2 linked regions of the Nothobranchius furzeri genome follow. The protein of the gene in region 1 interacts with the protein of each later gene in a pairwise test. Links are inferred from orthologs where the notes say so. Each region holds a gene or a part of one and is shown on either strand. Other genes may lie near its edges.

Evidence for each region. The genes of interacting proteins can lie anywhere in the genome.
Region 2: the proteins of nup58 (region 1) and mis18a interact in binary tests that used the Homo sapiens proteins (3 or more experiments, as listed by UniProt). The link is inferred for Nothobranchius furzeri from reciprocal best matches to the Homo sapiens genes NUP58 and MIS18A.

What each region holds. Positions count from the first base shown.
Region 1 is NC_091747.1:56,986,279-56,991,107, forward strand, and holds the start of nup58 (nucleoporin p58/p45), read left to right. Parts: upstream 1-1,661; 5' UTR 1,662-1,880; coding exon 1,881-1,960; intron 1,961-2,507; coding exon 2,508-2,677; intron 2,678-2,758; coding exon 2,759-2,791; intron 2,792-2,868; coding exon 2,869-3,138; intron 3,139-3,278; coding exon 3,279-3,438; intron 3,439-3,604; coding exon 3,605-3,670; intron 3,671-3,770; coding exon 3,771-3,945; intron 3,946-4,082; coding exon 4,083-4,162; intron 4,163-4,245; coding exon 4,246-4,364; intron 4,365-4,829. Other genes in the region: mtmr6 (myotubularin-related protein 6), read right to left, coding at 846-869. UniProt on the Homo sapiens protein: Component of the nuclear pore complex, a complex required for the trafficking across the nuclear membrane.
Region 2 is NC_091750.1:63,493,253-63,497,389, forward strand, and holds part of mis18a (protein Mis18-alpha), read left to right. Parts: intron 1-3,552; coding exon 3,553-3,655; intron 3,656-4,137. UniProt on the Homo sapiens protein: Required for recruitment of CENPA to centromeres and normal chromosome segregation during mitosis.

The sequences.
Region 1 (4,829 bases):
AATGGGGGCACACCCTGTCTGCAGGTGTCACACCCTGACCATCCCAGCAGCAGTTATTGTCAAATATTCGTGTCCCAATTTTAACCAAAAGGAATAAAACACAGAGTATGCATCAGGTTGCTTGGCATGGTGAAACATGTTACAAGACCCACACCTTTTTGGACACACAGAAGAAATTATTCACCAGTGTTTGACTGGAAAATGCAAAAATTCATCTAAACCTCAAACTGAAAAGTCATTTTGGATCTTTGGATGCTTATCTTATTATTTAATGTATGATCAAAACCTCATAAACCGTCACAAATCCTGTGTTTTCAGTTGGGTAGGTCTGTCATAGTCAAACCTGTGCTGCAGCACCTACATAACTTAACCTTTTTATGGGTTTTTATGAACTTAAAAGTCACGTATTTCCCATAAAAGTTCATCTGATACTTGAAATGTTAAAATAAATAAGCAGATGATCCTATTTTTGATCTGAGGAGTATTTTCATAGTGCAGATCACCCTGATTTTACCATCTCTGTTAAATAGGCCTATCATGTGTTACTATAACTCCAGATGCAGCCGAGTTTTCTATTAATCACTAAAATGCTTAAACTAGTTCAATAACTGGGTGTGAAAGTTGTAGGGTTATTGAGTGAAAGCCGTGCTGTCTGTTGAGCGAGGGGAAAAAACTAGCAAACAGATGCTCGTCACGTCTGATTCTAGCGACACCTGCTAGCCAACACATCTGGCTAACATTACATAGCAACACTGAATCACAGAAAACATACCAAAAAGACAAGGCCCAATAAGCTTATTCATCCCATCCATTTGCAAAAATTAGCAAAAAAAAATGTTAGCTACCTTCGGCGTTCGGATGTGTTCCATTTCTCCGAATCGAGACCTGTCAGCGACGCAAAGGGCTCACACGACGCGCTAAGATGACAAGTGTATCATTGATTTAAAAATGGTTAAGACTGCAGAGGTGTCGCCTTGACTTTTCGCTGTTATACGTTATGAGTTTATTGTCAATTATTTCACTCTTTTGTTAGCGTGAAGTTAATTACTATCACGGCAACGCTGCACGTGAAGTGTTTTCAAAATAAAGCGCATTTTGTGTTTAAAACACCAGGGCTTCGGTTAAACCCATGGTTAAAACCGCCTTTCGTGACATATAGTTTTTTTTAGTAAATATACACAATCGACATCAATATTATGATATACACACATATGTTGAGTTGATTAAACTTTTAACTGGCACTGTGTTGTGACGTGCTGAGATTTCACACCTAAATTACCACACGGAATGACAATAAATGATGTGATTCTATTTTCTAATTAAAATTTTTTTAAATGATCGAATTCGAATCTTGAAATGTTGTTTAAAATACGCCCTTTAAAGTCACGTAATTTTAAGTAAATTTTGTTTAAGCAAGGGGTTTTATTTTGAAAGCACATCCGGATTTAGTTTGTACTTTATGAACGACTTTTTAGTCCAAATTAGAAGTGTGCGCATGCGTTAACGTCACAGGAGCTGTGTAAAATCTGGGAAATGTAGTTTAGATAAATTATTACCCAAGATGCACTAGCACAAAAATACCAGGCGGGTAATAGGAAAAGAAGAGCCATGCGAAAAGTAGTTTTGAGAATTTTTTTTAACATACCAGGCTTATTTAATAGATTGTAAATCGCCACAAGGCTGCAGTGTGATCTCACTTATTGGGAATATAAAACATTTTTGATCAGTTATGTTTTAAACAAATGCTAGAGCGCGGATCTTGGCCCTCACGCGGCCATGAAAAGCTAACTGACGTGATGGTGTGCTAAGCTTGCAAATGAATTTCATTAGTATTTGAAGTTCAAATTGTTTGGTAGTGCTTGTGTAGCTGTTAGGAGAAAATGTCTGGCTTTAACTTTGGATCGGGAACGCTTGGAGCTACCAACACGGGTGGAGGATTTTCATTTGGAGCCGTTACCAGGTATTTTTAGTTAGCCGTTCTGGCTAAAGTTAGCATAGCATAACTTTAATCGTGTGCCATTTTTTACAATCCTTGTTTTTCAACATAGCTCACAGAGGTGGTTGCTTGTAATGTTTAAATGCACTGCCTTTTAGGGGTTTGTTCCTTCACGCAAACGTTACACTGCATTATTTAATAACATAATTGGGTTATTGAAATGTTAAACTAATTCCAGTATCCCCACATTGCTTCCACTGTCTTAATAAAGAACGCGTTTCAATAAGTTTGTGATTCGCACGTGAAACACTTATTGTTACTTAAGAATCATAAAGTTTAATTTCAATAAAACCTCCGGTTTAATACGTTTTTGGGTGATGTGCTGGAATGTCAGGATATCTACTTTTTCCATTTTGCCCAGGTTGCTTACAGCAGTTTGGCATTATTTGTTTGTGTAAACACATTTATGAAGTACTGTGGTTTAACGTAATTCAAATGGACGGATTATACATTTTTTAAGTGCAGCTTTGTTATTGAAAAAGTGTGAAATGATCATCCTTTCTGTCTTAAGTGCCCCTGCAGCCAATACGAGCGGCTTTTCCTTTGGGACTGTTCTGGGAACAGCAGCTGCAGCCCCTGCTCCAACCACTGCCACCTCCACCACTGCTTCTCTCGGACTGGGAGGCAGCATCTTTGGCCAGAAACCTGCTGGAGGATTCTCTTTCAATACGCCAGCTTCAAGTAATGATGCATTAACACATTTGTTTAAAGCTTAAGTCGTTCTGTGTGTCTTAACTTTTCTGTTGGGATCTTATCTTACAGGTGCTTCTGCGCCCACCACAGGCCTCGCAATAGGTATGCTAGCTTTCAGAGTGTGTTTTGGAGTAAGTGGGAAAGTTTCTACGTTTAATTTCACACACACTTTCTTTCAGGCATTCCAGCTACAACAGCTGCTACCACTGGCTTTAGTTTAGCCTTCAACAAGCCCACTGCCTCAGCGACACCCTTTTCCCTCACCACCAGCACCAGTTCCTCGACAGTGGGAGCAGGTTTATCATTTGGCTCCGTCCTGACATCCACAGCACCACAGCAGCCCTCAGCCACTGGCTTCAGCCTTGGTCTCGGTGGCATCACAACCGCCTCAGCAGCCTCAACAGTGCCATCACTGGGCACTGGACTTTTCTCCAGCACTGGAGCCTCAGGTTAAAATGAAAATAAGTTAACTTACACTGTCACGGTGCAGCACGTGTACAATCTATATATAACAATCAATTTAGCAAATCCAAAATCTCTGAAAGATCCGAAGATTTGTTCAAACCTCTTTTTCTACTTTGTGTTTCAGGGCTGGGCCAGACTACTCTTGGAGGAGGAGCCTTGGGTTCTTTGCTGGCCACCTCCACAGCAGTACCAGCTGCTCCTTCTCCAAGCATTGGCCTGGGTGGGGTTGACTTCAGCACCCTCTCCGAGAACAAGAGCGATGCATTATCTGGAACCAATGCTCAGTATGTGGCTTTATTCGTGAGGCCTTTGAAATAGTAAAACTAACGTTTGAATTCTAAAAATGTCCAAGACAACGTTGGTTTCCTGTCTTGTGGTCATTTACCTCATCAGTAATGATCTGTCTCCTGTATGATGGCGTGAAGAAACGTGTCTCATTCTCCTCCTCAGGGACAGCAAAGCTCTAAAAGATGAGAATCTGCCCACATGTATTTGTCAAGATGTAGACAATTTTCAGTAAGTATTACATTTTGTTACTGCACTGTGTACATGCTGAGTTTTTCTTTTTATCACCTGAAAGAGAGTTCCTTTCTGCATCTTTCTCCCTTATTTGCAGAAAATTTGTAAAAGAGCAAAAGCAGGTTCAGGAAGACATCAGTAGGATGTCCTCAAAGTCCATTTCTAAGGTTCAGGATGACATCAAAAGCCTCAAACAGCTGCTTTCTGTCTGTGCCAGCGGACTGCAGCGCCAGGCTCTGGCTATAGACAAACTCAAGTTGGAGACAGCTCAGGTATCAAACATAAAATAACTCAAATGACACATTCTCTCAAATGTTCCAATTTCGAAAGGTTGCAGCTCTTCCTTGTACCTTTTATACATAAATTACTCTTCCGACAAAACTTAACGTTCTTCAAATTCTTTTATAAGGAGCTGAAAAATGCAGACATAGCTCTGCGCACCCAGAAGACACCTCCTGGCCTTCAGCATGAAAACACTGCTCCGTCAGAGTAAGTCATCGAGCAGCAGCGTCGAGGCAAATCAAATGCAAATATCAGTGACCTACAATCGGCTGTTGTGATCTTGTGTTTAGTTATTTCCGTGGCTTGGTTGACCAGTTTGAGGTGCAGCTGCAGCAGTACCGGCAGCAGATAGAAGAGCTGGAGAATCACCTGACCACGCAGAGCAGCGGCACACACATCACCCCTCAGGGTAATGAGATGTGGAGATAACACTGATTATTTAATGGAAACGTAAAAGCTAGTGTATCAAACGCTACCCTTTAAATTCATCCTGGAATATAGTTTTTCAAACATAACAGAGGTTTGGTTTTAATTTTAACAAGTTCCACTACATTATTCATTGTTAGGTGGATGAAAACAACTCGGTAACGACACACAATTTACGGCAGACCCCGTAACGTGTTTCTGTTTAACTAGAAGGCTAATTCAGAGCTAACATGTCGTCTCAGGAGAGCTCTAATCTTTTCAGTGTGGACATGTCTCAAGTTGGACAGTGAAGTCAGTGGGACAGCCATTTTTAATCTGTGACTACCGGGCGTTTCAGATGGTGGAGAAAGACGGCTGCATGATACGCTGGCTTAAAACAGGGTATCTGCGGGTCGTTAAAAAGTCTTAAATTTGCATTTCCAAATTTAAGGCCTTAAAAATCCTTAAA
Region 2 (4,137 bases), on another chromosome or scaffold:
ACCTTTTCTCTGTAAAACAAAACTGGCCCAATGGAGTTTAATAACATTAAACATTATAATATTTGTAGCTCATTAAATTACCGCATTACATTTGTTGGAGGGGCGTGGGTGATTTTGGCTTAACCTTAATTTGTTTTAGCAGTATTTTATCTATGGGGAGCCTGTCGTCTCCTCTCTTCCTGGTCAGCTAATGGGGCTCCTAAGCAACAAAAAAAAGAAGTATGGATGAACAGGGCTATAAAAGCTATTTTCTGGTCCGTCTTGCCTTACACCTATATATGTTGTAATTGAATTGAAATGATAAATGCGATTGTCTGTTGCGTAATTTGAGATTTATTTGCTTCCTAATTAAATGACTACAAAACAGACGTTGCATATATGATGTCACAGCAGAATCCCTTCTCACGTCTTTGGGATGTTCTTGCTGTGTCTGGTTTCTAACTGCATTTTTGGTTCTTTTTAAAACACAGAAAAGTCCGCAAACGAAACTGTCAGCAAGGTAAAAACAAACAAAAAAAAACTTTTCTGTGTTTTAAAAAGAACCAAAAATGCTGTTAGAATCTCTCTTCCCCTAGCATAACCGCTACTTACCGCATGACCAGATTCAGAGTGGTTTTCTCCACCTTCTTTCATCCTGACTGAAGAATGCGAAGCTCGCTAAACTCAAACATTTTCATCTCCTTGTCTGGTCTGATGACCTACATTTGGTGAGACGAGCAGTTGGAGTCCACTACACGTCCTAAAGTAACTTTTGCCCGCCTGTCAAAAAAAGAAAGAGCTTTCTTGGCATCTAAACATGTTTTTAAAATTCAGACACCGTATGTGAAATAAGGTTGGGCAATGGGACGAATGAATCGACCGTCTGCGACGGGCTGAGCCGTTACGGTTGTTTTTTTTTTACAGGAAGCGATGTGTTTATTTATTTGTTTGTTTGTTATTGACAAATATTTTACACGTTACGCACAGAGAACATCGCAGAGGTAACAATCAAGAAAAGATCTCCATCAGCGCATCTGATCCCTTCCCCATCTGGCTGCTGACAGTGCACGCACAAGCGGCTCGCTGAGGAGGGGTTTGGAGAGCGTCTGAGTCTGGAAGACTTCTGGTTATTCCATTTGGAGAAACGTTTCCTGATTTAAAACTTTGGCTGAAGTAGCGCTCGTCGTGTTATTCAGCACTTGCTTTGAGTGCGTCAGCAGAGCACGGATCCATCCAGAACATTATTTAAACAGCCACGAGTCTGTCTGAGGCAAACGTCTAGAAGCTCATAACCTCCTCAGCAAACTCCATAGAGACATTTGATGACACACAAGCTGCAGGTGACCAGTTCAGGTTCACGCGGCGCAGGAGGAACGTGCGTTCAAGCCGCTGCAGTAGCTCAGGTGGTAGAGCGGGTTGCCTCATGATCGGAGGGTCATGGGCTCGATTCCAGCTCCTGCCAGGGGTATCCTGCTGCTGTGTCCTTGGGCAAGACACTTCACCCAACTTGCCTGTGTTAGTGGTGGTCAGAGGGGCCGACGGCGCCAAATGGCAGCCTCGCCTCTGTCAGACCTCCCCAGGGCGGCTGTGGCTACAAGTAGCTTACCATCACTAGCAGTGTGTGAATGTGAGAGTGTCTTTGGGTGTCTTGAAAAGCGCTATATAAGTTCAATGCATTATTATTATTATTATTAAATGTTCCTAATTTAAGTGAAATTGTTTAATTGCATTGTTCATGCTGCAGGGGCATTCTGACCAGCTTGGTTGGACTAAATATTAATTAAAATGAATGGAAATTTAAAGAATGATTATTCATCATTTAAAAATGAAAGTGACAAGGATAAATGGATCATGTGACCTCTGGCAGCGAGCAAACGCTGCCTCCCCAGAGTGCGTCCAAACGCAGCAGCGAGTCATCCCATCCCCTACTTATAAAAGAAATAACCCCAGAAGTTTTTGTTCAGAAAGAAACATTTTGCTTCAGTAAAAACCACAACAGTGGGCACCACAGGGAAACGAAGGCGAGGCTTCTTTTTAACATTTTAGTCATGTTTAATACGAGCCGTTTATACGTCACTCTACCAAACTACAAATACAAAATTAAATAAGAATTTCTCTTCCTGCAAACACACGTTTGTGTAAAAGAATCAATGTTTTGGGCTTCTTCTGCGTTCGCAAATTAGTTCGTGCGTCACGACGTCACATGCGCGAATAAATCTTCCATCGTCTTTTTTTTTTGGACTGACGATTGGCGGTGGGAAAAATTATACAAATCGCCCAACCCTAATGCGAAATTAATGGTACGTTTCTAACGGATATCAGAAACTAACTTTCACAGGTCCACTGACTGCTATTCATATTTTGGCAGTTTGGGACCCGTGGACTGGACATAGACGGGCGTACCTACTGTCCAAGTTATTTTTTGTTGTCACACAGGACCACTCATGTTACGCTGTGGGGACTCCATGAAGGTGGCACACTCACTCTAGCAGGATGCGCTAACGTCACAAGCAAACCCCCGAAAAGCATACGTCACTAAAAGCCGACATCTAACCAAACAACAATTCTGAAAAGAGAAAAAAGCGCCACCATTAACACGTCTTTTATTAGACTCCAAACTCTAAAAAGGAGTTGTCCACATGTTCCTGCGTGTAGCTTCTCCTGTTGCTAGTGTTGCTAATTCTACTCTTGCATTGTACTCTCGTCGCTAGTTGCTCGTGTCGGTTCCTGAGTGTTTTTTCATCGGTCGATTGCAGGCGGGAGTCAGGATTTCACGCAATGCTTGAAGACCGACTTTTGTTCTGAGGTTGCCCAATAAGCTGTCGCTGAGCCGGTGTTCTGTCCAATCACCGGACATTGTTAGATTGACACATGAGTGTTACAGCTTATGCCTGTCTGATAGCACGCGTACGCTGTCAGATCATCGTTCACTTTTTAAGCTGTATGATGGGCCAGTCAGAACATCATACACTTAAACAACTGTGTATGGCACCCTGACTCGTCAACTGAAGACTTTGTAAAGCTTTATTTTCTCAAAATTTTATAGAATTAGAAGGTGGTAAAATAAATAAATAAATAGTGATACACATTCATCAGTTCATCTATGTGGATGGTAAAACATTATGAACACAATCAACAAACGATTTCCTTGTACTTAGCCGTCTGTATGCTGAACTGGTGGCTCCTCAGAATGTGGCGGAGGTTTAAATGAATGCGCGCATAAACTGCATGCATGCTCCTCTGACATGTATGCTGCTCTGACGGAACACCTGTCACACTGGACGGCCACAGACTTGCAAATCACCTTCAAGTTCACCGTTATTTGTCACGAGTCTGTGCACGGTAACAGGTCTGTCTAGGACGGCTAAAAGCACAGTGTGGTCTGGAGGTTAGGCTTCCTTTAAACCAGCAGTGGTTCATCACATCCAGATGCTTCAGATGCATAAAATAAGAACAAACTTTAAACAACACAAACAAAAACTAAATGAAACAGAAAGTAAACGAAGAGAAAATGAATAAACTACACATTACGAGCCTACTAGGAGCTGTAACTGTTCTGTGTCTCTTTTCCAGCTATGTGCTTGGTTCTGCAAGCCAGATGTTGGCAGCAGAGGGCGCCAAAGAGCAGCCAGTCACTCTGGAGTACAGGGGCGTTGTTGAACAGCAGCTGACAGAGGTAAATTACTGCCGCTACTTTCCTTTGTCTCTCAGGTGGTCTTGCCAGGAGGTAAAACGCCAAGTAAAATGAGCAGATTGTCTCTAATTTAAGGCTTTTGTTGACATTATCTTAATCTTTAGTTTAAATCTTGAACAATTATTCTTATTAAAATGTTTGTTTCTGTGTGAACATTAAAATGCCTACAGCAAGCCAGAGCTCTGTCTTGTAAGCTAATCCATTTTCGGCAGGCGTAACGGTCCTGAGTTGTGTTGTGTTGATCTCCGAGCTTTCTGAATGCACAGGTTGTACCAGAGTAAGGATGACATCAGCGTGGTTCTGGTAAACCCATCCTTCTGTAGTGGGCAGACACTTTTATCAGACATTACCTCATCGGTCCAGCCATGTCATCTCAGTCTGACCATTTCACATTTTTAAGTAATTTTATATATATATATATATATATATAAACAAAACAAAAAAATACATCTATACTTACTGAC